Oreochromis niloticus: one gene and its partner. The protein of the gene in region 2 purifies or fractionates together with the protein of the main gene of each other region. This does not show direct contact. Links are inferred from orthologs where the notes say so. Each region holds a gene or a part of one and is shown on either strand. Other genes may lie near its edges.

What was found.
Region 1: the proteins of rab31 (region 2) and gdi1 purify together in Homo sapiens (co-immunoprecipitation; 3 studies listed by BioGRID and IntAct, counting the BioPlex papers as one, with this or other methods). This does not show direct contact. The link is inferred for Oreochromis niloticus from reciprocal best matches to the Homo sapiens genes RAB31 and GDI1.

The regions. Positions count from the first base shown.
Region 1 is NC_031984.2:7,298,195-7,314,282, forward strand, and holds gdi1 (rab GDP dissociation inhibitor alpha), read right to left. Parts: upstream 8,525-16,088; 5' UTR 8,232-8,524; coding exon 8,187-8,231; intron 7,213-8,186; coding exon 7,105-7,212; intron 6,927-7,104; coding exon 6,827-6,926; intron 6,057-6,826; coding exon 5,922-6,056; intron 5,837-5,921; coding exon 5,638-5,836; intron 5,458-5,637; coding exon 5,326-5,457; intron 5,224-5,325; coding exon 5,124-5,223; intron 4,979-5,123; coding exon 4,807-4,978; intron 4,155-4,806; coding exon 4,010-4,154; intron 3,878-4,009; coding exon 3,823-3,877; intron 2,839-3,822; coding exon 2,686-2,838; 3' UTR 55-2,685; downstream 1-54. Other genes in the region: V-type proton ATPase subunit S1, read left to right, coding at 10,094-10,212, 11,506-11,626, 12,464-12,538, 12,634-12,827, 12,924-12,961, 13,099-13,184, 13,283-13,491, 13,649-13,684 and 2 more. UniProt on the Homo sapiens protein: Regulates the GDP/GTP exchange reaction of most Rab proteins by inhibiting the dissociation of GDP from them, and the subsequent binding of GTP to them. Promotes the dissociation of GDP-bound Rab proteins from the membrane and inhibits their activation.
Region 2 is NC_031982.2:24,680,653-24,696,630, forward strand, and holds the start of rab31 (ras-related protein Rab-31), read right to left. Parts: upstream 7,764-15,978; 5' UTR 7,661-7,763; coding exon 7,625-7,660; exon of another isoform or gene 7,563-7,624; intron 7,389-7,562; exon of another isoform or gene 5,362-7,388; intron 5,352-5,361; coding exon 5,272-5,351; intron 4,182-5,271; coding exon 4,100-4,181; intron 2,417-4,099; coding exon 2,345-2,416; intron 2,030-2,344; coding exon 1,923-2,029; intron 670-1,922; coding exon 560-669; intron 1-559. Other genes in the region: ralbp1 (ralA-binding protein 1), read right to left, coding at 11,366-11,668, 11,846-11,966, 12,844-12,965, 13,046-13,156, 13,441-13,572, 14,376-14,537, 15,041-15,390, 15,478-15,909. UniProt on the Homo sapiens protein: The small GTPases Rab are key regulators of intracellular membrane trafficking, from the formation of transport vesicles to their fusion with membranes.

The DNA of each region.
Region 1 (16,088 bases), on a different chromosome or scaffold from region 2:
TAGATAAACTTCCCATGTCAGCATTGCATCTTCAATAAGCAACACAAATCAGTCTTTTCCAGGTTTGCCATGTGCTTTTTATTTTTCTATCATTTCATTCATAGTTTAATTCATTTTATTTGTTACACAAGACATTAGGCATTGTTCACATACTAGTGATCAAACAAGGACAGTAAGTTTTCTACTACTCAGTCTATTTCTTTTGTCAATTTCAAGGGATATTTGTCAATAGTGGTTTTCAAAGGCCATACTAAACAGTACAACCACACGAGGCATTTGTTTTCAATAAATAAAAAAAGAGGATAGTATCTGATGCTGAGGAAGGGTGGGTGGGGGGCTTCAGATATATCTATGTTCAAGGAGTAAACAGTATTCCAGTTATTACCAGATAATGTGTTTCCAGGATGAAGAGCACACACAATGTTGAATGACGCACAGTGTGAACACACAGCTGTATCGATTTTGACTCCCGATCTATGACTGACTGCTGCTGTTGTCCCTCCATCAAAACCTGTTTCTTAGGAATGCTAATAATCATTAAATCATGATGCAACACTGGAATGATCACTAAATTAGGTAAACATAACACATGACACAGCAAATAAACAAACAAAAGATATCGGTGTGCATAACGTTTCAAATCCATTTTATCATCAGAACGTAAACTATTAGCATAGCATATTCAGCATTTGACGTAAACCCTTCCACGATACGTCAGCGAAATTCAAATAAATAGAGCTCAAAGATAAGACACGTCAACACCCCAGACGCGATAACTGCCAAGGGGTTGGTCGCGGTGGATAAAGTGAAATGGAACCGCTTCAGTTTTCAGTAAAGTTAAATGGATCGTGTTTGTTTTGATCCATAACGAGCCAAGCCACAGATCAATCTGACTGTGAGTGTGCACTGCAGAGATATGAGGAACTGTCTCAGGTGTACAATAACACCTCTGACTTGGTAGGAAGCACCATCCTCTCTATAGTGTTTAGCCAGCTCTGCAGAGCAACTACACCACCAAACTTTTAATGTCAGCAAGCTTTGCCAATAACAGAATCACCAGTTTTGGCACAAGACTGGCCTCCCACTACATGTTAGTAAAAACAAAGCAGTCGATGTTTTGAATGGGTCCAAACATTTGAATTGGACCCAAAATTAAGGCTACAACCAAATAAAAGCATCTTGGTTCACTCTCATGGGGCGGCACTTGGAACTGTGGTTTCATACTTATGCTATGCTACAGTCTTTTGAAAATTTCTTGCTTTTCCTTCTATGTCACACTACAGTTTTTTTCAGAGGATTTAATCCCAAGGGTAATGACTTATCTCAATGACAAACACAAGGGTTGAAACAACCAAGACACAATCTGGTGCTTCCACTGAGAGCCGAAATTTCAGTCTTCAATCTCTTCCCCCGCAAGTGAAACTTCGCCAAAACAACAATCTCCTCACATACATTCTTATCCTCACGGCACATTTCCTTGCATCCCGACATGTTCTTCACCATTTCAAAACCTTCCAGAGTTCTTTACAGAAACCCTCACCTAACACAAGACAAATCCTCACCATGCCTTTTTGCCCCGACATTCCCTTTTTTTTTGTAAATGTTCAACTTGAAGACCACGGTTTCATCCTCTGCTCTGTAAACTTCATAACTTCAGCCAGTGAAATGTGCACCAAGCATATAGAAATAAAACTCTTCAATAATTTAAAATGTTAGAAAGTAAACTATTCAAATTCAAAATTGACATCACACAACAGAGATAAACAAAGAAACTTTTTTTTGTGTGTTTTTCTTTTTCAGGAGGGAGGGGTTGACAGTTAATAGCCACTGGTTAGCTTGCCTGCTAGCACAGGAAACACAACAGTATTGCAAAGTGAGCACTATCAGCTGACAGAACAGCCCATTTATATGTAACTTTTCATCACATTTTTTTGTTTTGTTTTTTTCTGTTTTTGCCCAACCAACAGATTTTGCCAAAAGGAGCGGCATCTATTGAAGAAACACAGGTAAAAGACCAAGTAAGAGAAAAGTGAAAGCAGGGTTGACAGGAGTGATGCGTGGAATGGTCCAGCCTTCATACCGCAGTGTCATTTGAATCTATGTACAATACTACTGTGTGTAAAAGACGCATGCACGTCCACTGGAGGTGACCCTTCCAGAGGATTCTACACTAAGCCGTTACACATCTCTCATGTCAGAGCTATCTGTTGAGACCTCTCGGTGCCACCAACCTTCCATCGGCCCAACCTCTGATATGAGGAGAAAGATGTTAGAGGAGGAATGAAATGCTCTGGAAATTCACCTCTAATGATAATAGTTAAGACATGATTATACTGTAAATTCTACAATGGAATGAAAAACCATATCAACCCTGCTTTTCAGTGACAGAGAAAGGGAATGTGAGCATTTGAAAAGCGTGTATGTGTGTGTCTGTGAGCATTTATGTGTCTGAATGCGTGCCGAGAGAGGGCGAGAGAGAGCGACGCGAGGAGGTGGAGGCAAACGGCTGAAGACAGGCTCAGAAGCTCAGACGCGCACCCTCTGCACCACTCTCACATTTTACCCTTTGTTTTTAAAGCACTGTTTAGGCAGCCCCAGCCCTCTACCAAAAGCCCCGTTGCCTCCACTTTTGCATCCACCCCCTTTCCCAGCCATGCCCTCTCTCAGAAGCCCCCCCTCTCTAGCTCACTGCTCATCCTCCCCAAACACATCGTTCTGTTTGCGTTTCATGTTCTCAAAGTCAAAGTCGCTCCCGGTCATGCGTTTGTAGATGTCCTTGATGTCGTTGCAAGTGGTCTCGAAGTGAGTGGTGGCATCGTAGGACCTTGATGCGAAGATCTGAGGAAAAAGTTAAATAACAAGACTTAGAATTTACAGCAGTGCTAGCAGGTCTGTGGGGCAGCGGTGCTCATTTCCACCTTCACATTTTTATTCAGAAATCCACAAAAGTAGCTTTGCATGATCCTTACTCTCAGACCAGGCCTCTGTGCACCTGCTCAGTTCATCTGTCTGAAACAAGCAGATCTATCTCCCATCTCCTAACAAATCTTTGTAAATGACTGAAAACAGAGGGTTTAAACACAACACAGCTCTGTGTCTGATATGAACATATTAGGGATATCCACTCACAGTGACATCATACAGAGGCAAGAAGAAAAAAAACTGAATCTGATTGTTTAGAGCAGTCTGATACTTGCAGCTAAAATTTCAAGCTGGCACCTAAACGTGCACACACAAGCTGGCTTCAAAAGTGAGTCAATCCACACAGCCTCCTATGCTACCATTTTAGAGCAGGAACAAATGTGGGCTTTATTTAAGGTCTTTTGGGCTATTTTTTAAAACAATTAACTTTCAAATATCTTGCATTTAACAGTATTAATAGCTCTATGCATTTGGTGAGTGAATTCTACCATTCTGTATGGAACTTAGCACTAAATAGCGGGTGTCTGCATCTATTTTATGTGCTCATACAGTTTATGGGTGCCTCTTGCTAACCAAACTTGTTAACTTGAAAGCAATGCAAACTCTCATCCATTTCTGGGTCCAAAATAACCAAGCAGGCCAGCTGATGCGCATAAAATTGAGGCTTCCAAAGAGGAGATCACAATCCAACGAGTGACATCATTAGATCATCACTACAACCATCTTCTATGCACAGTCTACGATAGAATGATAATTACCTATCTAGTACAACATTTCTTTGCAACAAAGTGGTCAACTGACCCTTCAACGCAGCCGTATTAGTTGTGACAGCGTATTAATTTGTTATCTTGTAAAATACAATATTTTTTCTGGATGTTGACCTTGGAAGAAGTGTCTCACCTGGCTCTCAGTACCGTCATCTGTGGGCTCATAAAGGTCGCTAATAGCCACAAACCTGTGGAAGAAAAAACGTGATTTATCCCAGTTATATGTACATGCATCATATTATGAGCATTTTTTTCCCCTGTGTGTAAAACTATAAACATGCATGAATTTGAATAAGCAAGAAGTAAAACGTGGGACTGACTTTTGGTCGATGGGCTCCAGCAGCTCCAGAGCTGGCTCAATTTCATTCTCAGGTTCACTGGTTTCCACTGTGGTGCTGACAATAGCGATGTACTTCCCCTGGGCTGCCACGTTGTGAGCGTAGGAGATCATGCAAACATAGATGTCTAAAGAACAGACAAAGGAGTTAACAGGAAGAGATGGTTAAATCAAGAGTTAACTTAAAGCTGGATTAATTGACGTTTTTGTCCACTTGGAGGCAGCAGGAACGAGCTGTATACACACTGACACGTTAGCTTCCCAGTTGAGTAAACAGTTGCCTGTTTATATAAGCATTCATCTGGAGTCATGTTTCTAGCCACCTGCTATGTGTCTAATATCTCATTTCCTTTAGCTTTGCTTTTGTTTCCATAACTTTTTAACAAAACAAATGTCAGGGTTGCTCCAGTATATGCACCAGTTACTTTTTAAAATTGTCTTTCTTCTTCTCCTTGTCAAGCAAGTTATGCATAGTGATTATTTTTCCTTCAGTCTTTTACTTTTTCCAACTTTACTGTTTAAATCAGGTGAATAACGGTGATAGTAAATCAAAAGAGTACAACTGAAACAATTAGCAGAAAGGTGCTAAAAGGCACCGTGGAGCTGAGGGCAGCTGCAGATCTCATCACTGCTAGTTTGTCACCATTTAACATGCAGTCTGATAATTATTGATTAGGGATGTTAAAAAATAAGCTAAATTTAGTTTGTAGTGGACTAAATTTGCAGCATTTCTTTGAAGACTAAAAAGCAGAAATATTGAATATAGAAAATATTGCTCACCTGAGTTGCGATTAACCTGATTCTGAGGAATGATGATCTGACAGGAGTTGGCATCATTAGTGTTTTTGATGGGATGGCTGAGGATGCAGATCACACGGATCACCTGACCCGCTTTACGGACACGGTCTGGGATGTAACTAGGGTCGCAAATGAGCTGCTTACAACGAGCCACCTGCAGTGGGAATGAGACAGTAATGATGTGAGTCTGCTGGATAAGTATATTTGGCTGAATAAACCTTAGGCATAACCACTTTAAAATTTGGAATGATACTGTCTAACTTGCGTAGCTGTGGACAATAAAGCAGAATCTGCTTTACCTCGCCCTCAGACTTTACTCCAATCACTTTTCCACCTTCCATCACGATCTCATCCACAGGTTTGTTCAGCATGTAGGTTCCTCCATAGATTGCACTCAACCTAAGATTACAAACGAGTATGATTCGTTAACTCGAGGAGTGGTTTTGATAGTTATGATAGACTCCATCATAAATATCATAAGTTTAATTTAAGTTAAAATACCTGGCAAAGCCCTGTGGCAGTTCTCCCAGACCATAGAGGGGATAGAGATAAGGGCTCTTGCCATACCGTGCCAGTGATTCACTGTAGAGTTTGATACGGTTGATCGTCTCCAAACAAGGAACATCAAGATAGCTGAAGTGGAGCAAAAACAATGTGAGAACTCCATTAATATCTATTTAAGCACATAATAACAATAAACCCTTGGTATTCCCTGATAAGAACATCTGTGACTCAAATTTGAAAGCATGCAACTGTGACATTAAGCAGAATTAAACCAATTAAACGGCTGATAATGGGTGATGTTGTTCTTACTCATCTGTCCTGTAGAGGGCCAGGGCGTGGCCAGTGAAGTCAATGACATCCTGACCGAGGTCAAACTTCTTGTAAACATCCCTCATCGTTGTGGTTTTGGGGTCCACGCCCTCGAAGGTCTTGGGGTCATTTTCATCAAAATTGGCCACAAAGACTAAAAACTTTCGAAACCTCCTCTTCTCAAACATTCCCATCAGATCTGTGTATTCAAACCGAGGTTTCAGCATTCTACTGTTGACGTCATTGCGTGCAAAACGTGATGAGACAACGTTCAGGTGACTTACTTGAAGCTAGTGCCTCAGTCTCAGTTGATGGCACCTTGTAGATCTTTCCTCCTTTGTAGACAAAGCTGCCTTCCACTACTTTAAAGTCCAGATACCGTGTCACTTCTGTGTATAGCAGCATCTTTACAAGCTGACCTGCAATCAGGGAGGCAAACACACGCAACATCTTACAGGGGATTTACGGTTCTGTGTTAAATCCACACTACATATACAACAAAACCACAAATCCCTTGAAAGCCTACGACGTAACATGCTGTAACATGACGTGCACCTCCCTGGAAATATAAGTATGTTGCATTAACACATCCCACAACTATTGTATTTGGCCCGTTTAGTCTGGTCGATTCCTCCTATGCATTTCCAGCTACTTTTTTACCCTAGTTTTTGAATGGATCACTAAGAGGACAACAACCACCGCCTCAATGTAAGAACTCAGAAATGTCATCAGATTCCTGGTGGGGGATTTTGAAAACTACTAGAATAAATATGAGGAAATGTACAAAGAAGTGGAAAAACTTTATGGACAAATATGTTGGCTTCTGAAAAAATATTGATTGGAACAAAGATTAAAGGCCAGGAGGGAAAAAAGTCCCAGCATTTTATTTGTTCCTGTCACGAATGGCACTGCTTATAAAACACCAGGACATGGTAAAACACCACCCACAAGCATTAATGCTGGCAAAGGTGTTGGCCACTTAAATAGGTTACATTGCAGGGTCTCCAGAGTCACCTAAACAAGCAGTTAGTGTGTGACCAACCTTGAAGAATTAAAGCATTCTGCAGTTACAATATTAAGCTCCAGAATTACCCTCTTGAATAGTCTGAAAAGCACTTTGGCTCTTGTGTACTTATCACGTGCTAACTTTTATGGCATTTTTTTATATAATTAGTAATAGGATCCTAACCGTTGGCCATGAGAAACTTGGGTATGAGGTCAACGTTCCAGTCACGTCCTCTGCCCATTGACTCAGGTGGGGTATCTGGCAGACTGAAGCGCTTGTACAGCTGTGGAAAAGGACAGGAAAGCCTGTGAGGCCCATCGAATCCGAGGCTTTACAGAGGATAAAGCAGTTAGCAAATGAAGACAGTAAAAGGGTGACAGATGGGACTGGAAGTAAAATGAGATATACTGAGAAACATTAAAAGTTTATTGATTGGTTTTATAGATCCCAGAAGTCCTTACCTCCTCCAGGGGTGTAATGGAAGAGCTCTCCCCACCGTAGTAGGGGTTTCGGTCCATGTGCAGAACCTTCTTGCCATTCACGGACATGATCCCGGACAGAATGCATTCCTGCACGAAAGCGGATTTATTTATCCAACACATCAATTACATCAATAACTCTTAGGTATAAAACAGCCCTATAATAAATCCTTCTCTTGTCAAGGCTCCAGTGTTTTAGAGATGTGTTGAATCATTCATTGAGGGGTGTAGTTTAAGTTGTCAAGATGAGAAATGTTTCTATTATTTGGTCTAGACCTTTTTACAGCATATCATTAGAGATAAGCACGCCGCTTAGTTTAGACACTGAATGTAAATGGAAGTAAGGAGGTTCTGACAGAAGGATGCGGGGGACAGTGGAAAAGATGTGCGCATGCGTGATTGTATCGCCTTAACAACGTAGCTACGACAATTATAATAATAATAACAATAATAGTAATAATGTTATTAAAAATGTATTACATAGAAAAGAAAAATCCTGTGGATATGCATCGTCGTATTTGATTCCATTTATAAAACTACCAGAATATCGGCTTCCGTGTATGCAAAGAGCTGGGAGAAAAGCACAGAAAGCGCATTTCTGCCGCAGAGGGTGTGATGAGTGAAAGGAAAGTGCGGCGATAGTGGCAGCAGTGAAAAGCTCTGTCATTTAATAAACCGGAGCTCAGGCCTGCGCCAACCTCAGGATGGAGGCCTGCCTATGCAAAGAGGACCATGACACACTGTGGGGTTACGCCTAAAAGATGCTGCTGGGTGTAACACAACACTGAGCCGGCTGTGACTCTGGGAAAGCAAACAACTCCCGGTCGAGCAACTGTTTGCTTCTTGTCGTGTACAAGCAGATCAGCTGGTGCGGTTTATTTCCAAAGCGCATCTCTTATGATAAATTTCTAATGTGACACGCACGCCGGGATGCAAGGGGCTTTCACTCCTTGGCTAGGATAGAGGATAGCGGGCCTCTGGTCTGGCTAAAACCATCATTTGGGAAGCTGACACAATCAATTCGGTGTGTTTCTGTGCAAACAAAACAAAGCTTGACTACTCACTGTGAGTCCGGTGCCCAAAACGATCACATCATATTCCTCATCCATGTTGTCTCACCGCCTCTCCCGTCTCGCCCTCTTTTTGCCTTGAGAAATGAAGGGTATTGGAAGCAAATAAAACCGGTGAGTCCACAAACCGGGTAACTGTCTCTTACTATCTCTGCACAGGTGCTTTAAATTGCTCTTCAAAGTTAAATATTATTTATTAATCATTGGGTATAAATGACCAATGGAATACACAGTCCACACTGTCACCGGCGAGGACGACCAAAGATGGCCCTGATCGTGGAGCAGTCTAGAACAATGTCACTGCGCGTCGGTAAATAGTGCGCATCCTCCTTCCCTATTTCCCATCCTGCCACACAATGGGCTCAAGCTGCAAAGCGGGAGACGCCGCTTTGAGCCGGCTTTGGCGATAGTTTATTGTGCACACGGGGTGTGCTGTTGTGGAGTTTGGCTTTTGTTTTTGGCCATTTTGAAACCACGGTGTGTGTGTTCTCTAATTTCTTATTCTATCTTTCCTTCCCAGTTGTAGGCGCAGCGTTGCGTGGATGAAGGCAGAGATATCCTTCCGCTGCCACAGCTGTGTGGATGGGAGTTGCTTTCACTGACTGAGCGCACGCACTCAGGCCCTTACAGCAGGGGTGTTTCCAGGCTTTTCTTTTCCTTTTTTTAACGGGGTGGTACAGGGGGTGTAGGGTGGGGGACCAGGGGTAAGGCAGGGGATCGTAATGTTTGATCGGATTTAAATATTATTAAAGAAAAGTGTCTTTTCTGCAGCCCTGTCTCCTAATAAAAACGGTGTTACACGAAAAGTAGTGCTGCAAAAGATTTGGATAACCTTTCTGCAAAGTGGCTAAACAAGCATTTAGGCCCCTTTTTAAGTAAATGTCACATTCCTATTTAAGTAGTCTGTTTTGGCTGTGAAATGCAACCTACAGTCCCAAGTAGCTAAAGTAAAAGTATTTGTTGTACAGAGTTAATTATGCAGTCATGATCACTGAATGATTCATATATTATCCTTTTTACATTACAGTGATGTTGAAGTTTATCTATGCCTTACATATGATAATATCATATAGGAGTTCAGTAGAAGGATAAGCATAATTATGCTTTTTGGGACAGGTAAAATGCTAAGTAACTACAGCATTACCATAACTGTTATTGGGCTACTGTTTATTTAATTATTAGTAATTATTAATCTCTGGCTGTCTTCCACAATGAATCTTTTATCCTGGCTTTCTCCCATCACCCCAACCCACTGCAGCACACGGCTGCCCCTCTCTGAGCCTGGTTCTGTTGGAGATTTCTTCCTGTTTAAAGGGAGTTTTTCCTTCCCATTGGCACCAAGCGTTTGCTAACAGGTGGTTGTTTGATTGTTGTTGTTTTTGTTTTTTGAGGAGTGGCTTTTCAATTAAAGAAATGTTAAGACTGATTTATTTATCTATTTATAATTTACTTAATTACTTATTTGTAATTGTTAGGACATGAAACAAAGAGGGAATTAAACAATTTAACTCTTAAATGCTTAAGAGTTTCTTAGACAATTAGGCTACGCCCTAAGTGAAAGTGAAAAAAAGAAAATATGGATATAAATGAAGTGATAATGGAAGACTCTTTGTTTAAACGCACACACACACGCACACCATACTTTAAAGAATCAATTGTTCTGCTAAGCAATGTGCTGATGGGCAGCTGATGGTACTGTAGCGGTTTCGCTCCTGGAAATGTTAAACTGTTCTCGCCGAGAGAAACTAAATAAGAGCAAAGCTGTAGTGTGTCATTGGTGTCAGCAGCTGCTGTGGGCTGTTCGGGCTGAATGAAAGAAGGAGGAAGTCATCTCTTCAGCACATGACTGTCAGGTGGTGTGGGTCACGTGAGCATAGAGTTCCGGAAAAGTCTAAACGAAAATGGCAGGTTCGAGGAGCTGCACTCGGTTAATGGGTGTTTGTATTCTACTTTTCGCCCCTTTTTTCGCCTTGGGGAGCGCCACGTCTCAAGTGCCTTTTCTTATGTGGTCCAGTGAACGGTAATATTTAGTTTTTCTTACTAATTCATTCAGCAGAACTCACTTTAACTACCGGCAAAGTTATCTTGTATGCTAACGCTGATGCTAACTCTTCTAGCTAAGTGAGTTTCTACTTTGCTGCCCAACCTTGCAAACACTAAGCGTTTAAAGTCTAGGAGCTAAATATCTAGAGGAGTATTTACACAGAAATTGTAGATATTTGCTTGTGCGTTTTGTTACAATAAAAAAATCCTAAAAGGTTATTGTGAAATCCAGCTCTTGTTCATAATGGCCATCCTTTTATTTCTTAATTTTGAAATAATCCACAGAAATAACGATTCTCCATGATTTAACCCCCTAAGGTGACGCTCTTTAGCACTAGTAGATATGTTAATGTTGTTGATCTTCATTTGCAAAAAAGCAAAGTAAGCTGTAAGATTAAAGATAAAGAAGAACTTTATTGTCATTAGTTATACAACGAAATTTGTTCACTTTTGTACATTAGCAGCAGACATGATATGGAGTAAAGGAGAGAGAGGGAGAGTTAGCTATTTTGTGTTGGGGGGAGCGGTGACACAGGCTACAGCTCTGGGGGATGCGGTTCTGATTGCCCTATATCTCTTCCGCGATGGGAGGGGTACAAAAAGTCTGTGACCTGGATGATGCAGCTAGCTCGCTTCTGTAAACGGCTAGCATAAACGGTGTCAAGATTCGGGAGTTTGGTTCCAATGATCCCCTGGGCAGTTTTGACGATCAGAGCTCGACGGTTTTCTGCAGTGCAGCTGAAGTACCACACTGTGATGCAGTGACAGAGGATGCTCTCTATTGTGCTCCTGTAAAAGTTTACTAAGAGCTGGGTTGGCACATTTGCTAAAACACAGTTTTGCAAGAGTTTTGCAAGTGTACTACACTTCTTTAGGATGGCGCACACAGGAATTTAAAATGTGGAAGTATACTACTGTATGAGGTGGTGTGTTAAGCAGGAGGACAAGGCAAGGTTGATATACCAAAATAGTTTTCTTTGATGATAGGATGAATATCTGATTCATTATTTTTGTTGTTGTTGTAGTTGTTGTTATTTAGACATTTATCATTTTTGTATAATGTTATGCCAGCTTTACAGGAAACACATTTTTGTTGGGGAGTATTCAGAGGTTTCATTTGATTGACTGATGGGTGGCTTTTCAAAATAAAATGAAGTACTGTGCTTCATAATAAAAGCCGCTGGGGTTTTTCAGCATTTTCAAAAAATGTGTCAATGCAACTGAACCACTTAATATCACAATTCATCTTTATTTTTTTCCTTATGTTTAGCTTGCCACCACTGGCCTCACCTGCAGCTGGTCATATAGCATCTTATGAGCAGCTGAGTGCCTACCTCACCTCTGCCTTCAGCTCTGGCTCCCACACTGTGCTGCTGTTCTTGCAGGACAAGGTCAGTACCCGACACATGAACTAGATTCTGGCTCTGTAATGGATATGTTTATGTCACTAAATTGTTCACCCTTCGTTGATTTGAAAGCTAGTCCTTTTATATGCAAGTTGTGTAAAATGGGGTAGTTGTACTGCATTCCCATGTGACACTGCAACAGTGTGGTGTGACAGTGAGTTTTGGCATTACTTCCCATTTCTCAGTTCCTCTGTGATACATCGGGTCTTTTTTGTGGTGGTGGTGAACACTCAGTGTTGTGACTGAGCCATATATTTATATTTTCCCATGTGATATTTTTAATCATTGTAATTGTCATGAAATTGTCATTGTAAATCCTCTATAACTTTTAAACAACTACACAAGCACAAACAAGATATTCCTTTAGATATAGCTTGCGTGAAAAGCGTGAATGCGACAATGATTTCATTCCAGTTTGTTGTTAATTGAGGTATTGTGGAGCCGCCAGTTCACTCACATTTTGGCACACTAGCATACTGTCATGCATACAGACAACAAGTCACTCAAACAGACATTAAGATTTGAAATGTAGTTTTTCCTAGTATTACTGAAACAAAGAAAATGGAAGAAGTAGCAGATAATAATTGTCCAAATTAATGTAATTTGTTTATACAGTCTGTATTTTTTAAGTATGTTAAATGCAAACTGAGCCATTAAAAAAGAATTCCTTTAAAATAATGTCTGATTATGAATGGCATTAAGTCAATTTAGCTGCTAAAATAAATTAATTGCTCGTGGGTTAATGGGACTGATAAATGTTTCAGTTGTTTAAGTCTTCCTGAATTCAAGAAACAAATATTTTTTTTCCCTTTTTGTATTTAGTTAAGCAAAGATGACTTCACAGTCTTTGGTGGAGTATTTGGGAACAAGGAGGATAGTGCTTTTAAAAACATTGAGGTATGTTTTTATAACACATATGTTAGTCCAAAATTAAGATAGTTTTTCCCTAGACTAACAGAGACTAATAATTCTCCCCACTTGATCCTTTTCAGGATGCAATGCAGTCTTCTACCTCAAAAGTGACACTGCCTGCCTTGGAGTGGTCTGGTTCCTTTAACATGGCAGCTCTGCTGCAGGAGAAGCTCGGTGTTTCGCCTGTGCTCGTCGATGCAGACTCTCTCTCACATCTGAGTATCAAAACATCTGTCAGCAACCTCCTGCTCATCAATCTTCCTTATTGTAGCAGGTGAGATTTTTCAAAATAATTCAAAATTATATTGAATAATCAGTTATCTGTTTTTATTTAATACTTAAAGTGTATTATTTTTAAATTGTTTTGTAGCTTACAGAAGTCATGCAAGGAAGTCCTGCATGAGAATGGTATGTTTTTAAGTGCTGAGGATTAAAAACATTTATAATTGTATATGACGTTTACAATTACAAACATGTATAATTGTAATCAGCATTATGTTATATTTTGATTTGTGTATAATTTGAATGCATTTTGCTGTCAACAGATGAAATTATTGGAAAAGTTCTGAGTTCAATGAAAGCAAAAAACATCCCATACACTGCAATATACACAGGATTCCAGCCATCACGAGTATGTTTTTAAAATTAGTCAAAATGTGCCACATTATAACACATTCTCAATGTTTGGGTATTTTTTTGAGAATGAACAACATTTTGATAACTTTGCAGATGATTTCAGAAACCCCAATTTCTGATCAGTCAGTGGGTCGGTCCTTGCTACAAGCAGTTGAACCTGAAGTTAAGCCTCCCATCATGTTTAATGTATCTGGTGGTCCCTGCATAATGCTGTGGGCTCAAAAATCTCACTGTCAAACTGGGTCCGAGCTCACCATGGACCGACCTTGCTCAGCAAACACCTACCTTGGGTGGATCACTGTGTAATGGCAGTACCTCACGGTAAAGTGGCCTTTCATTATTTCCCAAAGCAATATCCAGCCTGTGATGAGTTTACGTTTTTTTGTTTTTGTTTTTTTTGTTATTTTGTTATTTAAAGAGAAATAACCAGTTACATGTTTTATTTTTTTCTCATTTCAGGCTTGTGCTTACTTACCAATCAGGCTTTACATTAAGGTAAGGCAAAAAGTTGCTTATTAAAGATTCAAAATTGTACCTTTTCAATTAGTTAATAACGCTTACGTGTCCCCAGGATGTGCTTTTCAATTTTCAGCTCAATGTACCACAGCAATAGTATTCTTATGTATTTGTATTTACTGTTTAAATACCACGCTCTACACCCCTGCTTTTCCAAACCGGTTCTTTCAGTGTGTGTGGCTTTAAATCCAGCTGAGCCGCTGCTGCTTCTGCCCACACCCAGTTTAAAAAGAAGTTTGTGAGTGACAGTGTGTACTAATGGGTGCAGCACAGTGCTGGCATGAATGAGGCATTCTGTTGCTTTGCTTTCTCTAAGAGATCACTTTGTTCTACAATTGAAACACAAAATGACATTTACCTGACATTTAAACTCTTGGAGTCAACAGCTGGTCTTTTGGTGCGCTTTGTTTGTAGCTGATGCATTTTAGTTATTTTTATTTTTATTTTGCACACATCTTGGAAGCAGTGAGCAGTGAGGGTTGTCTCTATGGACATTTTAGCTCAACGACTATTTTCTGTCTAGTTTCAACATAGAAACTTACACAACTAGGAGGCCAACCCTTTGTGCAAGTATTAAGCAATTTGATATTTTTACAGCTTTCTTATCACACAACAGAGTTCATAAAATGATCATCTTGAGGCATTTTTATAAATAGGGTTGCTAAATTAATGTGGGTTTATGTTTAAGTGATAAATGGGATCTTCCTGTTTAATTCTTAGTAAGAACGCATTTCAAAAAATGAAGTATTTTGTTGAAATTCCTGAAATCACGGCTTCCATTTGAAGACAGTTTTTTTCAAAAACAAAATTTTCTTGTTTTCTAAAAAGGCAAAAATATCTTTCTCAATCTCTGCAGTAGAGATATTATTTCCATGTAATGTTTAATGTTTCAGACTTTTAAAAAAATATATTTTTAATATCACTGGTAGCATCAGTTTATTTTAAAATCCTTCACGGATATGTAATTAAGCAACTAGTTTAGAAAGCATAGTTAAACAGTGATTGTGCCTTTTACACTGATACGCATTCTGACCATCCTTCTCTTGCTGATCTCCAGTTTTTCAATGAGCAAGCGTTTCTATTCTGTCTCTGCACGAGAATGGTTCTCCCTGGATGCAGTTGAGCTGCAGTACTTTAACCTCAGTGCATCTTACATCGCAAGCCGTGACATCTATGCTCCTGCAGAGTATTCCTTTCATTGCCAGTCTGTCGCCAACTTCGGAGATGCCCTGCTCCGCACAAACACAACAGACACAAATTCATCTGAATGGAGGCTAAATTTTGTCGACTTCCAGGTACAAATATAGTGCCGCATTTGCTAATTTTAAAGTCAAACACCAATGCATGAAGAGGTGTGTTGATGAAGGGTTTCTTAAATAATTGTTTTCTTTTTTTATACAGATTCAGGGCTTTGGGTTGTCCGACAGCACAAACTTCTCCTATGCCAGTGACTGTGCAAGCTTCTTCACCCCAGCAATTTGGATGGGACTGGTGACTGTGCTCCTTACGCTGCTAATTTTAGTGTACGGTCTGCACATGATCATGCAGATTAACACCATGGATCGGTTCGATGACCCCAAAGGCCCATCAATTTCAGTGCCTCAGTCAGAGTAAATCACTCCCCCCCCCCCCCCCCAAAAAAAATGTAAGAACATCCACTCCTCAGTTTTTGAGTGCCCCTTTGTTGATCAAAGAAAGTATCCCTTTGCCTTCTAGCTTTTGTGTTTTTGGGTCTTTTTCTTTAATGTATGTTTCTTTTGAGTCCTTCCACAGTTATTTTGGCACATTCCACGTCATCTTGCCATATTTTACAGGTTCCAGAGTGTATTTTTTATGAGTATTATTTTAGAGCGTGTGCCAGATACAGCTGATATTTTTACTAAAATAATTTGCACACATATCATGGAATGACTTTCTTGCCAACACGAATGTGATCGCTGAATGCTGTAGGACCGTTTCAGACCTCAGTTCTTAATTTGTTTTGTTTTTTTTATTTCCCCGGCCTAACTGTAATTTAAAAACTACTGTTAATGAAAGAAGTGCCTGTGTGTATATACATGATCATTTGTGATGTGTTGTGTAGTGCTGCTGTTTTTCCCAATAACATACCTTGGATTCAGTTCTGTTGCCAGTCGTCATGGCTTAAATGGCAACACTGATATCCAATGTTTTCTTGGCAAGTAATTTATTTGTATAAAAGGACTTCATTTGCCTTTAAAGTTTACCCTTTGCTTCTGGGTTATCAGCTATTTTAATAACAGTGCCTTGTTTTCAGAAAATATTGACATGCATTTGCAATGAAGTGCAATATGCTTTGTTTAAGTGCAAATAAATGTATAAATTCCAAAGTAATTCTTAAGTTGTGGGCCCCTCAGTTGCAGTT
Region 2 (15,978 bases):
GCTGTGTTGCAGGCTCCAGGGAAATGTAGTGTCCAGGTTTTATTTGGAACTGAATACTCAAAGTCAGAGCTTTTCTATCTCTTCTGCTTCCATTCTGAACGCAAACAAAAGATACATTTAAAAAAAAAATCTGTCTCTTGTCACATTTATCCACTTTCTTAACTGATCATCCATTTCAGGGTCTATTCTAGCTGTCATATTGCAAGTTGCCGGGTACATCCTGGACAGGACACCCTCAATCACAGGGCCTGTAGCCAATCTAGATTCGTTAGTTAACCTAACAAATCCGTTTTTGAACTGTGAGAGAAAGCTGAAGTACCCTAGGCTTTTAACATAGCCTACTGTTTAACTTGACCAACAGTTACTTACACTGAAATGCAGGCAAGAGAGAAGATTTTAGAGCTGATCTACTATAAAAGTGTTGTTAATTTTCTGGGGAGGTGCAGCAGGCTGCTTAGGCGAATACGTTTTATATAGATTTAATACAGTACTCAAAATCAAGCACAAGACAGGACACACTAGTACTTCTGATGGAGAAAACAAAAGCCACAAAACCTACTGATTTTCTGAAAGAGCTCCTCAACATTGACAGCATTTCGGGCACTCGTCTCAATGAAAATAGCGGCAATTGATTCAGCAAACTCCTTAGCTTCCTTCATAGGAACTTCCCTGTGAAAAAGAAGAACATGGTTCAGATGGAAAATCTGCACTTAATTCAGTCACTTTCATCAATTGAGTTTCTAACTGGATATAGACATGTTTTTTTCAGGCCTGACACTTCTTCTCACCTCTGATTGTGCAGTTTCCTCCATTTTTTAAGGACAAACTGCACACTGTGCCAAAATATATCAGGGTTTCAGCTTATAACGCTTTGGGAATCAATTTGTTGGGGGTAGAAATGCCATTTTATGCCTGTCAAAGGGTGTTATCTCTGCAATCTTTCATAAATTCAACTAAAAATGTTAACAAAAGATGTGTATTTGTGACAGGCTGCTAGTAACAAAATGTCTACAGATACAATTTAAAATTGTTTATTTGCTAAGTTGTCTGTAATGTGAAGGCAACACTTAAAAAGGGACTTTTTACACTTGAATGTTTCATAGGTCAGTGGCTCAACAAACAAAGTCAGTCCACTGAAAATAGTCAGGGACAAGAATGTATAAAATGTACAGAAATAAGGTGGCGACTCCACACCTTTGCACAGTATTGTGTGAGTTTACTGCACATATATTGTTGAAGGAAATGATACAATAAAAGAAGACTTATAATTGGAAGCACAGTGAATAATAACACAACTTCTTTATCACTAAACATAAAGAGAAAGCTCATGTTGCTGCTTTGGTACAAATAAGTCCTTTGAAGTGATGCCACAGACCTCTAATAACACAGGTGTCAAAATTATTTTAGTTCATAGGCCACATATACATTTATATTTTAGTTTGGTCTCAAGTCTGTCAGGCAATAAAACAAAAATAGAAGAAGTTTCTGACAACGACCACATTTTAACGAGCTATTCATTGATGAAGCGCCTCAGAGTTCAGTCTGCTGTCAGTACAAAGAACCCCAGTGGTTGTAAATTTAAGAAATGCACAGGTCCTTGGCTTAACCACCTTAACTTCATTGTGGTATGGCAGGACGTGGGTAGAGTCTTTGTAAATAATAAGGATGTAAATGACAATGATTCAGATCTCTGCCCGGATTAAACTAACAGTTGGCCTGTTTCACTCTTAAAGACTTGCAGCACAATGCTTCGCACTTCTTGTCTGCAGTTTTCTCACTGTGAAAATCCCTCAAGTTTGGACCCCTTTGAAGGTAAATTATTTCCATTGTCAGATTTGTTTGTTAACTCAGTCTAACAGTGTCTGTAGAAACTTTTCTTTTTAACATATTTGTAACAAAAGAGATGAAAAAAAGAAGCCCACCTGATGTCTCCTAAATCATTCTTATTCCCTGCTATAGCTACAACAATGTCTTCTGGACCGTGTTCCTTCAGCTCCTTCACCCATTTCTTCAGCGTCTGGAACGAATCCTGGACAACAAGAAGACATTGGGGTCAATCCTGGGATAGATTGTTTATGAGAATATGCCCAGCAGTTTTTTTCCAACTCCTGTCATATATTCATTGCTTTTTTTTTTTTCCAGACGAGTTTCCATTAACAAACCAGGAAAGAATGACATTTGTAGGTCATGAAACACAGCATCCCAGAGTGATGGAAAAGTAGCAAAATTCTTCACTTACAAATGTTCAGGACAGCTGTTACTGATGTTTTTCATTTTTACGAAGGAGCTAACAGCCATGACAGTTTAACCAGTTTCGCAATAGTAAACTTCCTGTTACACTTACCAGTTTAGTAATGTCATAGACAATGACAGCAGCAGCCGATCCTCTGTAGTACATAGGGGCTAACGAGTGAAACTAAAAAAAGACGACACATTTATATTAGTTAGCATGATTGATTTCATTTTTTTTGTATATCACACATAAATATGATCCAAAGTGCTCAGTCTATGATTAATAAGGGGGAAAAAAAAGCTTATAAAATACAGGCAGGGTACTATGCCCATACATTCTTACATGATGAGTTTATGGAAACAATTACTTCCTCAAGTCCCCAGGCCTTTTTAACTTTTAGCAGTTACCTTCACTTCGACTTGACAAACTGTGGTAGCTTGTAAAGAAATGCTGAATGTAAAAATCACCTCACTAAATGTCAGCCTACTGCAGATAAACGATGAGTGAACGCGCCGGCTAAAAATGTGCCAACACGTGCCAAACTTTGAGATCATTTATGAACAGTGAATCCAAAAAGGAATGTCGATTTAAGAATAAATATCACACTCAGGTTGTATTTTTTTTACATTTCCTATACCAATGTATGGCATCTCAAAATTGTTTCTATTTTGTACTGAAGTTAGTGTTGGTTTCTCTTATCAGTCAAAACCGGCACCATTCCCTTCAGCAACTATCAATGTGTATTATCATCAGTACAACTATATATCCATTGCCAGTGATAAGAGAAGATACACTTCATCTCAAAGTTGCAGCAGTTTAGTTAACTCAACAATCATACAAAAAAAGTCAATTGGTGGAAATCGTATGTATTTTAATAAAGTAGACAATGTGTGGCCAATTAAATAAGAAATTTAAAAACATTATCAGTGCCTTCAAATAACATATTCCAGTGGTTCTCAAACTGTGGTCATCACTTAAAGACCAGATATCCCACCTGCTGTGAATGTTTTAATGCAGTACATTTGTTATTATTATCACTTGTCACATCCTGTTTATGACAGTTAAAATAAATAACATTTATATAAGAAATAAAATTGTCTCATGTAAACTATATGGTATTAAATAGGCGTATACTATTTTACTTTAATGTCAGTCATAAGGGTGGTATTCTAAGAGCCATATATTTTATGAGGTGGTACTCATTTTGAAAAGTTTGAGAAACACTGACATATTCAGTTACATTTGGTATCTAAATGGTATCCCAAAAATGTCAGGTAGGGGAAGTGTGTGTTTAAACAAGCAGACTAAAAAGACTGCTTAAAATGGTGTTTGAATGATAATAAATGTAGAATAAAATATTATGGCATGTTTTTTAAATTATATTAATTACTCAGACGTCACAGGTTTAATCAGCAAGCCCACAGTCATGATGATAACACTACACTACAGTGACATCAATATTTCAAGAGTGTCCACAGTTGTATTGTTCACAGATGTTTACCATCAGCATCACTGATCACACAAGATCAGTCAGTCAAATGTATTAGGAGACACTCACAGCAGAAGTCCCAGCATAATTTTTTCACACATAAGCAGAAAATGCTCGCATTAGTTTTTTCCATGCAGTAAGCAGGTTTGGCAAGCTTCAGCTATACCCCATCTCCCTCTCTTAGCCATCAAATTAATCACCGTGATGTCTCATGACCTTTGAACTCTTGTGTCAAGCATCCTGTTTCATACCCTATAAATATCTACCTATCACGAGTACCAGCTTTCTGATGCAAAGTTTAATGGAAAATCAACATCACATGTGTTAACTTAAAGCTAACAGCGAGTCCATGAGGAGTTTCTGTTGCGTACACTCACCCGTTCCTGACCAGCTGTATCCCAGATCAGAAATTTGTGTAGCTCATTTCCACATGGCACTGTCTTGGTCAGGAATGACGCTCTGCGGATGATTTAAAGCATTTCACAACAGCTATTGTTTTTTAGGTCACTCTTTAAAAGCAAAGGGAAAAAAATCTGTGCATGTCAGCAGGAAAGTAAGAACACTGAAAACAAGTATGTTTGGTACAGCATGTTTGTTGCTATAGAGGCATGTAACAAAAAAAGGAAAAACATAGTCACAACAGTGGGTTTAAAGACTGGTATAGATGGCAAAAGCTGAAGTTACAGGTAATAATCAGTTTATTTTAGTGTTTATTGCACCAAGTACTAAAAAAAAAACTATCATTTTTATAAAATTCTATAATCTTTTTGTCTAAAAGTGTTACTCCAAAGTGGGTTTTTTCATGTCAGATGCAATGACCTAGTAAAATCAAGGTTTTTTTTCTCAGGCTTACAGAAGTTGTAATTTGTGCATTAGAGCTTGCAAACACTTAACTAAAATTTGTACTTTAAAAATGTAATTACATCACATATTTGTAATGAAATGAAAATGCCTTATGAGAATTATTGGAGTTGTGGGGCTGAAACAGGATGACTCCCAGGTGGGTTTGTCTTTATTTCAGTTGCTAAAGTTTGTTTAGAATAAGCTATGTGTTACCTGCTGAGGTTTTCCTTACAGGAAGGAGACCTTTTGGCTGAGCTGTGCATGTTCTACATTGTCTAGGAGGTTATGACTATCACCAATCAGCCCAATTTTAGTGTGGACTAAAGAAATACTAAATAGTAATAAAACGGCTGTTAAGTTTTAACAGTGTGGTAATAGTGGCTTGTGCAATTCCTTTAAAATCTATGTATTCAGTTAAGATAAAAGACCCAAGGGAAGGAAGGTACATTCAGTTTTATCTCTTGAGTAATCAGTTCTTCTATCATTAGGTTTAACTTCTGTAGTTTATAGACAGTTCATAGGATTATCAATCTACCCATTAGTACAAATGATGTGGCTTGAGCTTGCGCATAGTTTCATTCAGCCAGATTACTGATTAACTGGCTGAATCTCCCTGTACATTTCTGAACATCTTTACTTCAGCTTTGTTTCCAAACACAATTGATTAGTTTCCTGCTGCTGAAGCCTTCTCCTGGTTAACACTCACCCTATGGTTGGACTTATGTTGTGATCGAAATGATCCTGGACAAATCGGCAAACAATGCTGGATTTCCCAACTCCAGTGTCCTGCAAACAGAATCAGTCACAGGACATGCACACACAGAGGGCGGTCACTATTGAACCTAGTGGATTATGCAACCGTAGCAAATACAAAAGTATGCAACAGCAGTATTTAAGTCATTAAAATGATAACGTGAAATTATCCAGTAATACACGGTGTATGATTCTGTGTAACACGAACTTTCACTTTAGATATCTTAAATATATTTTGATGGTAAAACTTTTGTACTATAATCACTTTTACTTATATAAAGGGTCTTCACAATGACTACTTCACCTGCATTCTTACTAACGGCCAGCAGGGGGCAACTCTTGTGGTTGCAAAAGGTTCCAGTTGTAGTCAGCATCTTTCATGCTAACTCCAGGTGAGCGCAACAATCTCCTAGCCACCAAAGCAATAACAAAGAGGCTTTTGTGCACAGCATCCTCTTTGCGACTGATTTCACCTACTGTAGCAACAGCCAAGCGACCTCTGGGAACTACTCACCAACCACTCTGGGAATACACATTTTTCCTTGCAAACAGTGGCTATATCATATCCAACATCATCCGAGATAATACTGGTATACATTTTTTTACTGATATCACACACTCACTTCCTATTTACAGAAAGTATTGAATAAAATATTGACTCCATTTAGTAAGTTGACTTTTTCAGAATATACTAATTGCTCAACACAATCACAAGGCTTTAGCCAATGAGCATGTGGTTCACAGAGAGAGCCACTTCTTATTAGTGTTGCGCAATACTGCAGATTTTAAGTAAATACAGGGCCAGTATCGCTGTTACCAATACCAATACTTTTAACTTATAACATCAACTTATGTAGAGAAGAGTGGTGTGTCATGACTTATGAGATGAATCACTATCAATTTGCAAATTCTGAATACATTTTATTAACCACAGTAATTAGATAACACAACAAAACACACATTTCAGCTTTTTGTGTATCTTGAAACTGTGTTTTTTGGAGACCTGGAACGTAATGCCTTTTTGCCCCACTAGTACCTACTGGGCTCAGCATGGCTCAACTCAATTCGGTTTTTAGGTGGTACTCAGTTGTAACTGAAAACAGCTGAAACTGAGTAGAGTTGAGTCAAATTGGTACTAGTGGAAAAGAGGCACAAGTGTGCCTGTCTCAAAAAGACTTCTGTTGTTTAAATGGGTTATAGAGAATAAATAAAATAGACATAAAAGTCTGTTTTATCCTTTCCCCCCAAAAATCATTTAATACAGTTCAATGGACTACATAATGAATTTAGATCATAGAAACTAAGAATCAATTCTATCGCACTAGTATCGATACCAAAACCGGTGCTGGTATCGATACTACCAATATCTGGATAGACACCCCCCCCACCACCTCTCAATTGTCACCTCTGGTTCCAAAAGACCAACATGTCAACAGTAATAATGCTCAACTCATTGTAACTACATTAATCTTTGAGTCTGTCTAATTTAAACTCTCATGCAGTGCCACTTTTCATGTAACACATCTGATGTAGAAAATAGGACCCCCCACCCACCCACCGACTTCCTAGTCTCCAAATGTGGCACCCCATTTTTTTAATTGTATAAACACCCCTGTATGGTTTTATGTGACTTTAAATCTGCATAAAATCTGCTCCTCCCGCTTGTTATAAGCATGCAGAGGTGTAACAAAAGATGGGTAAGGTCAGCATATGGTTGGTTAGGCTGACTCAAAAAAATATTTTAGTGAGGATGTCAGGGCCCTGAGGAGGTATGCGGGGGCCTAAAAACCTTATGAGGCTCTGAAAAGTTCCCAGCTCCCGACTTCAACATCGTCGAAAAAGCGGCAGTTTGCGGTCCAAAGCGCTCTCGCCGTCCCTGTCACCGTTTATAAAGACAGACTGACGTGTTTCGCTAACGCAGCAAGAAATCTAACGGCTCGCTGGCTCCAATGATGACGTAATGGCTGATAAACTGTCAGAGCCGTTATAAAGTAAAGATTTAGCTTAATCTATTAAGAACTACAAAAAACATGCGAGAGGACATACTCAAAATGACTGCCGGCCGATGAGGTTGGTTTTAAGCCAACTACTAGCTACCAATATTAGTTAAATACCCAACTTATTTCATGAAGACGACAAAGAAGAGTTCTTTTAAATAAAATACCGGAACTGACAAAGTACCGACTCTACCATTAAGTTGTAAACGAGCAGCTGTTAACATCAACATGTTGTCGGCTTTTGCAGTTTCGCAGCAGACTAAAGGAATTTGCCCCAAAACGGATCAACAAAAAACATCAACCACTTACCCCTAAAAGGCAAACCTTGAGCTCCCTTATAGCCATGGTAAGTTTTGGAAAGTTTTTAAATCATCATTTGTCAGTGTACACTCAATGTATTTGTTTCTTCATGCTTGAAACTCTATTATTTTCCCCTCTTCTTGGATAAAATAGAAACCCAGCCCCTGATACAGACAGACATCTCCACTAAGCGGCTGACAAGGCGCATAAAATAAATTTACAACATCCGGGAGTGACTTTCAAAATAAAGGTATCTTACAGCCGTTTTGGCACAAATGATGCGAAAAGGTTGCAACAAACAACTTCGTTTGCAATTTTAACTCTGCCTGTCAGTTACATGTTTATATTTTGAAATAAGAGATTAAAGATTTTAGACATATTTTTACCCTGAAAAACAGTGTTCTTTAGTTAAGAATAGATAAAAGTGCATACAATGGTCTTTAGTTCAATGAAAGTATAACAGGACTGTGAAATGTCAGTCTGCTCTTAACATATTTTTGCAATTAACTAATTTAACCAAAGACAATGAAGACTGTGACAATGATGTTTTTATTTCAAAAATAAAAGACTAAAGTAGGATCAGCATCACACAGCCGGCTGTGCCCTGGCAGCCAAAAATGAGTGGGCTCCAGCCCAGTAATGGCTACCAGGTTTGGGTGGGTTTTTGGTATGTGGACTTGGGCCAGTTTGGACTGCGAATTGGCAGAATAAATGCACGCACACTGTATTAGGACTGAAAAACTGACCAAGGTTGGTAGTCTGACTTTTGACAAGATAAAGACCTGGTTCACTTTCAGCATCCAAACTACTACCATACTTGGGCCAAGTTATTTCTTATAAACGAACTTGATTTTGGCCATTAAGGTGCCAAACCTGGCCAATTTTACAAAATCACGAAACATTTAAGAAAGCTGGGGAGGGCACCAAGGAAAACTGACAGTAACCACAGAGCCACAAGCTATGCAGGTTTCTGTGGTATATGATAGAAATGACCACAAATAAAAGAAAATATAACAATTAAAACTGAATAAGCAACTTATAAGGCAATTCTCAGTCATTTACTTGTGATTTTATTGTTTTTCATAGAGGAATGACTGTGACACAGTAATTGTAAATGTTTCAAGAAATGTGTGGTTAAAAAAGAAAACGAACACCAGGTAAGATAACAGATAACTCATGAAGATTGACTATATCTGGCATTTAGATAGAATACTGTAGGTTTCCTTCACATGCTGAATACCAAACCAGTACCATGCAAACTGGGGCTACAATTTACATGCGCTCACCAGTAATTGATGATTAATGCAAAAACGTTCTGTTCTGGTGGTTTTTGATTTCTGCTGCAACATATGGATAGCAGGGTCAGTATCTGCCATAAACAGCATAAAAGCATGGATCCATCCCACCTTCTATCAACAATTTAAGCTGCTGCTGCTGCTGTTGTAATAATGAGGGGAATATTTTCTTGGCACACGCTGGGCGAAGTGAGAATCTTTGTAACCACAACCTAACCGAGTATTGTTGCTGACATGTTCATATCCTTATAGACATCCCTTTTTTTGTTCACTGTACTCAAATGTCCCCAAAAATCTCAAAAGTCACCAGATCTCTATTCCATAGAGCACCTTTCAGATGTGGTGGAACAGGAGACTCAGCCAACCAATCAACAGTAATTGTGTGATGCTGTCATTATCTTTATGGTTACACTTTTCCAGCACCTTGTTCAATCTGTGCCATGAAGATATAAGAATGAAGCCAAATCTAAAGGAACAAAAATGTTACAACCTTGTAATAACAAGTTGTACCTAATAAAATGCCCAGTGAAGGTATGTATAGCTCTATGGTTAGTATTAATTGTATATCTATAAAGCCAACATTCCCTGAAATGCAGTAGACTATGTAAATCTACTCTTTTATATTACAACCATTGCTTTCCTCCAAGAGAAAATGGTCATCATGTTATGTGAATTCAAGTCGAGCTTTAATTTTGAAAAGACAGTTCCTAACATCCGTTGTTCTCTTAGTTGTTTTAGTCCTACTTGATAAACCTAGTTTCCAAATCGGAAACCAGTTAAAGCCTTAACCAAAAAAAAACATATTTAAAAAAAAAGCTGGGTGGTTCCACTATCTCTTGAGTAATTTGTTTTCAGAGTCAAAGTCCACCTTTCTATTCTCTCAGAGATGCTCAGGTTTGTATTTAGGCAGATACTGTGTAATGGAAAAATATGGAATACATGTCCAGCCAGACATAGTTGAGTGAAAAGGTAAACTTCAGGAAAAGACACAGTGAGATAATTATTTTAGACTGACACTTTATTCTTCACAGCATTTCTGTCTGTAACAATCAGCTACAAAAGCTCAGAACAATATGAAAATAACCTCACGAGAAGCTTCTGAGCCTGTTCTAGCAGTTTCATGGAATCAGGAACTCCAGATGAGATTGCATGGATTTGCCTGTGACCAAAGCAGGGCAGTCACAGTAGCGTAACTCCATACAGGTTATTAATGGTAAAAAAAGAAAAGAAAACAGCAACAAGAAGACAAAACACGAAGAGCTGAAAATACAGTATGTTTGCAATTTTACAATAATATACAGAAAACGTAAGTCAGGACACATCTCTGCCTTAAATAGTATCGAACAATGACGTTACCTTGCAGCAGACACGGATCAGCTGTGAAATGAAAGGATTGAAGAAAACCTCCACACATGAAGATACAAAACAAAGCGAGCCTCCTGCGTGTCTCCACCCATATAGGAGGCAAAAAATAAATCATCAGCACAGACTTGTTACATCCTCATTAAACTGAACAAATATGATCTCCCGCTCTTCCTCATTAGTGCAGCGCAGGCAAAGGTAACTGAGACAATGACTGCACTACGGAGCAAAGTGTGGCCTCCAGCTGTTTGTCTGCATTTTGCAGCGATGAATACACATTTGTTATTTGGCTGTTCGTGTTTTCATCCACTGGTTAGTTGCGAGGTGCAACACTTCTCTTTATGAATCTGCTGTTCAAAAAAAGAAAAAGAACAAGACCCTCTACAATATATTTATTTGTATATTCATATATTACTAAAAAGCTGCAACTTAAATTTAATGTACTTCTTGAATAGTCATCTGTTTACTTCAGAATACTACTTAAATATATAATATATAGATAGACCGATCATAAATTCTTCATCATTCAAAAAACTTTTGTTATCAGTGGTTCTCTGGGGCATCCTCAAGTTATGGCACAGTGGTCTCTATCCAAAAGAAAAAATCAAATTTGCATCAAGTTAAGGGACGAATCTGAGCGACAGGGACTGATGACATGTGGTCTAGTGATCGCTTCCTGACTCGCTCAACAGTGAGAAATAATCTGCAATCTACCCTCTCTTACTCTCATTGCCTTCATTTCCCCTTCCTGCCCCTTCCTTCCTCCTTCATACAGGCTTGGCACTGCATATTTGAAAACATGGTCCCTGCTAGTCTCTTACAGTGGTAGTCAGTTGTCCGCTACACCAGCTAAACCTAGCATTTGTTTGTTTTTTCAGGGTGGTTTGTTTTTGCATGAGGATGTGAAAAAGAAGGTTAGGACACCAAAGACGATATAAAAGGTTTTTCCTTGTCTGCCACTTGGTGGACACGGTAACTAATGAGCTCTGCAATGTGAAATCTCCTGCAGGATAGCGAGCAACGCTACAGGACAACTGACCCACGGTAGAGACGAACACCAGCACAGACGACCACCAAAAGCATCACAGAGGTCTCACATGTTGGTGTCTCTCTTGTCTTTGCTTGGTGAAGGCTTTGATGGATCCTTAGCCGCCTTTCCGTTGGTTGTGGCAGCAGCTGCATCGGCGGTAGGAGCCACGGCAGCAACGGAGCGCTTGGTTTGCTCCTCGCCGCGGGCCTCCGGGCTCGGCTGCGTGGGTGGAGCCTGCTCGGCTGGCGGCTGGACGGTCAGCTCCTGCTGTAGCTTGTGGCTCTGCAGGAGGCGAAGCTGAACGCGGAGCTCCAAGATGGCCTCCTGCTCCTCGTGGATGGCCTGGTTCAGGTGAGTGTTTTTGTTCTTCAAGGCAACAAAGTACACATTCAGAATTAGATCCTGTAAAACTCCAGCCAATACTTTCATTATTTTATTACCAGAAACAAAAGCGTGCTGAGCTTTTGGTATATGAATAACCACAGTTTTGTCAAACACTGCAAAACCACCGCAACAGGTAGTGGAGGCTGGATGCTTTCTCACCTCTAGTTCCTCGTTTTGCTTCTGCAGATCTTCTAGTATCATCTGCAGCTCTTCCTCATCCTCGCTTTCACTTTCGCTGTCTGATGAATACTCCTCTGTCTCACTGCGACCCTGCTGCCGACTGCGAAGGAACACAACGCTGGCTTACTGCTAGGATCTAATGTCGTGTTTTAGTGTTAAATTGGTTTCATGGTCCTGTAAACTTGTCCGACTGAGTACACTGTCTTAAATCAACTTAAAGCATGACTTAAAGGGACTGCCGAATGTTGACTGGTTCACAGGTGAGCTGGAATAGAGCAGGGAGGGATACTGGAGTTCACTGGGAATGGGAGAACCGCAGAGAAAAACTTCAAAGATCAAAATACAGAGTATTAAAAGCACAGGCAGTGGCTGCAGTGGACACTTTTCATTGCTTTTAACACTCGGTTTCACTTCAGCTCTTTGTGTGTTATCACTTTGCTTTCCTCTGTGACTGGCTGATGGACCGACAACAGCACAAGTAAGAGTGGCCCATAGACCCATGTGGCCATACACCTGTTGGGCCGCTTACTTGTATAATGCCTCTATCTGGCAACAGAGCTCACTCCAGGCAGACGGACCATCCCTGGACTGGAGTGGACAGCGAATGCACCATTTCTGCTCGACCATAAAACCAGAGGGAAAATATCACGTTTATCTCTCAAAAAGGCTCAAATGTCATCAGGGGTATTGCTGCTAATGAGGAGACATTCACAGGGGTTCAAACAATGCAATGGTACCAGTGTTGTCCTGAAAACAGCCCAATATGGTCCTTCACACACAGATCAAAGGACACAACAAGACATCCACTGAGGGATCTGAAATCAGCAGTCACACTGAAAATGATCTAAAGATCCACAAGAAAATGTACCCGACTGGGAGACTGACCACTTTTACATCAGGTATAGATTATAAATTTTACACTTCCAACACTGGAACTCTTTGTTCACACCTCATATTTAACCACTGTCCTCTTTTACCTCTGTATGTCTGCAATCTCTGCCCGCAGCCTCTCGATTTCCTCCTTCTCAGTAGCAATCTGTCTACGCAGCACCTGCTCAAGAGAGATCAGCTCCTCCTGCTCCGTCAGGATCTCATTCTCCTGATTATCGAGAGAACGAGAAGACATTTAAAGGTTTTCTTGGCAAGCTGCTGATCGATGTGTTTGTATGAATTACTCACCTGTGCTAAAAGGAGGTTGATGACTTCCTCTTCATTCTCAGTCATTTCCTCCTTAGAAACGTCTTCCTTTGACAGGCTTGCTATCTCCTGGGCTATTTTACTTTCACACTCCTAAAGCCCCACAGAGAGCAGACACATACAGCATAGTTGGTCAATTCATCTGCATTTGCCTTTTTGTTGTTACTGTGTAGGGCCACATTAGAGTTTATTAAGGACTCCCAGCTCAATTTAATACAGACTAAAGAATCAATCCTGCTGCTGTTTCCTACCTTAATGAAGGTTATAATTTTTATACATCTCAGAAGAGGTGGAAATTCAAACCCTCACTGGTATTACTGGGTGGATGAACAGCTATTGTATCCAGAGAAACATAAATACTGATATAGACAGATTACCTGACGTTTGGCCTCCCTCAGTTTCCGTTTCAGGGCGGTCAGGATTCTCTGAACCTCCCAGAGCCGCTCCTCTTTGGACAAGTCCTTCACCCCTGCCTGCAGGTCCCGGTGCAGGCAGTTCAGGAGGAACTCCTACACACAAATACCTTCATAAATATTGGCTGAAATTTACTTGATGACAACAATCAGCTCAAGACAAGTAGAGGAGCCAAACACATTTAATAAAGTAGTCAATATGAGAACAAAAAAGTCAAAGTATTAAGTAGCAAAATAAACCATATAATCTTTTTAAAAAGGGCGGTCTGAGATTCATGCATAACCACTTATGAATGACAGAATTAAAGTTAGTTGGATAGTTAACATGATTTGAGCGTTATAGGACAAAAAAAAATCTACAATAACTTTTCCGTATATTCTAAGTTAGGTGATCTAGGAGGGATTGAGATGTGTGCGCCTCCTCTGGGATGTTTTATTGTTTTGGAAATCCAGGCCACGAAGGAACATTTTGTAAGGTTAAAGAAACAGCTTCACCCGAGAGACTGGGGTTCAAATCGACTAAACCATCTGAAGCTGACGTGTTTTCTATTTTCTTTTATATACAGGTGACAGAAACTAACTAATATTCTGAATCCCACTGAGTCCTGGCACACTGAGAACAAACCCAAGATAAAGATGCGTACTGCTGACAAGACACTTTAATATAAATAGAAAAGGCCTGCTTTGCTGAATTAGAGCTGCATTACTATGTACTATGTTGTAACATTTTAAAATCTGCTTCAAGGGAAAATCATCATCGGCTTATATTAAAAAAATCATTTCCTTTTGCAGTAGATATTAAGATATGAAGCAAAAAAAGAAACTTTTTTTTTTTTAACAAACTCATTTGTTCAAACACTAAAATAGACAGTCATTAGTTGCCACAGGACCGAACCCACCTGCCGTCTGATCTCTTCTTTGATGCTCTCCTGGGTCTCAGGCAGAGCCGGCATCGTCGCCATGTTGGACCAGCGGAGTGGCCGCACCACTGGCTTCAAGACTACATCCCCAAACAGCTCCTTCACGTGGGTGAAGAAAATGTAAAGGACACGATTCCCAATCTGGAAAGGAGGCACACGGATCACCAGAGGGAAACGAGCACAAAGCTGAATTGTATCTGCACCAGTTCCTCCACAATACAAATTCCTGCATGTTTATTTAGCCTGATTAAACTGGCCCTGGACTCCGCTCATTAATTGGGAGAAGTGTTTATTTAACAGTGTTGTGGCGGCTGCTGCTGCTGGTTCAGAATAAGTGGAGCAGCAACAGAGATGTCCCCTATGGGAATAAATTAGCTTCACTAAACTGGGCCAGGGTTTCAGAGATGAACTGACTCTTTGATCCAATAAAAATTCACTGGTTTGTTGCTAGGGGGAGGGTTGGGGTTTTTTTGGGCTATATCTGAGCCTGAGCCAAAGCTCCACATTGTTATTTGATGTTTAGTTTGCCTGTTGCTGGAAAATTGATGTTCTCTGCACCAGCTCATGATCTTCTTGCATATTTCTTCCCTTTCCCATGTAACGGTGCATTTGCATTTTCACTGATTGATCTCCTTCCCGCTGACCTGTATGGTGGGGTTAAGTACGATGGAGATATTCTGAATATTCATCTTCGTCTCTGCCTCCCTGGCAATGACGTGGTCCATGTGCGTGACGAGCCAGGAGAGGAGCAGTCGGCTCTCCGGCGGAACTTCGGTCAGCAGCCTCTGGAACTCCGTCACCTTTTCGGCCTCAACCTGCCGACCACAAGCATCCTCGAACCGCTGGGCCAAGTCTCGACCAAGTATGTTTTCGGGCAGCTCGCGGAGGTACTGCTTCAGCAGGCTGGCAACCGTGTGAGGGTCATACTCCTCCAGGCATGGGCACTCCTCTCGGTCATACGCAGCTTTTAGTTCATCTACTTTGGACTTCATACCTGAAAGGAAAAAAGAGCCAATGTGAGTAATCAGAGATGTTTTAGTTTGTTTAAAAAAAAATATGGTAAAATCAAAATGTTTGATACCTGAAACCCGGTAGATGCCCTCACACTTCATCCCATAATTTTCAATGTAGTCCACACACTCTCTAAAGATTGCTGGTAGCTGGATGCCATCATACAGAGCTGTCCTCTTGATAGCTTCAGCCAGCGGGGCTCCAAAGATGGGCCTGAAGGTGGGGGTCTCCACTGGGACCGGTTCTGCCTCTGTGGTTGGTTTCTTCTTCTTCTTCTTCTCCTTCCACTGTTTCACCACATCTGCAGCTGTCAGGTCCTTTGACTTCTTATCCTTGGCTTTGTCCTCTTTAGGACCCTTCTCTTTCACCTTAAAATCCTTTTCTTTCTTCTTGGAGAAGCTCGGCTTCTTGAACACGTGGATTCCTTTGGAGCGCTTCATTTTGGACGGGCTCTCTGCTTCATCTGCCGAGCTGTCCTCCTGGAAGGCGGCGTATCCTTCCGCTGTGAAAGTAAATAAAGAGTAGAAGAGGCAGAAACCAGGTTAGATCTAAAGGGAGTAGCACCTCTATT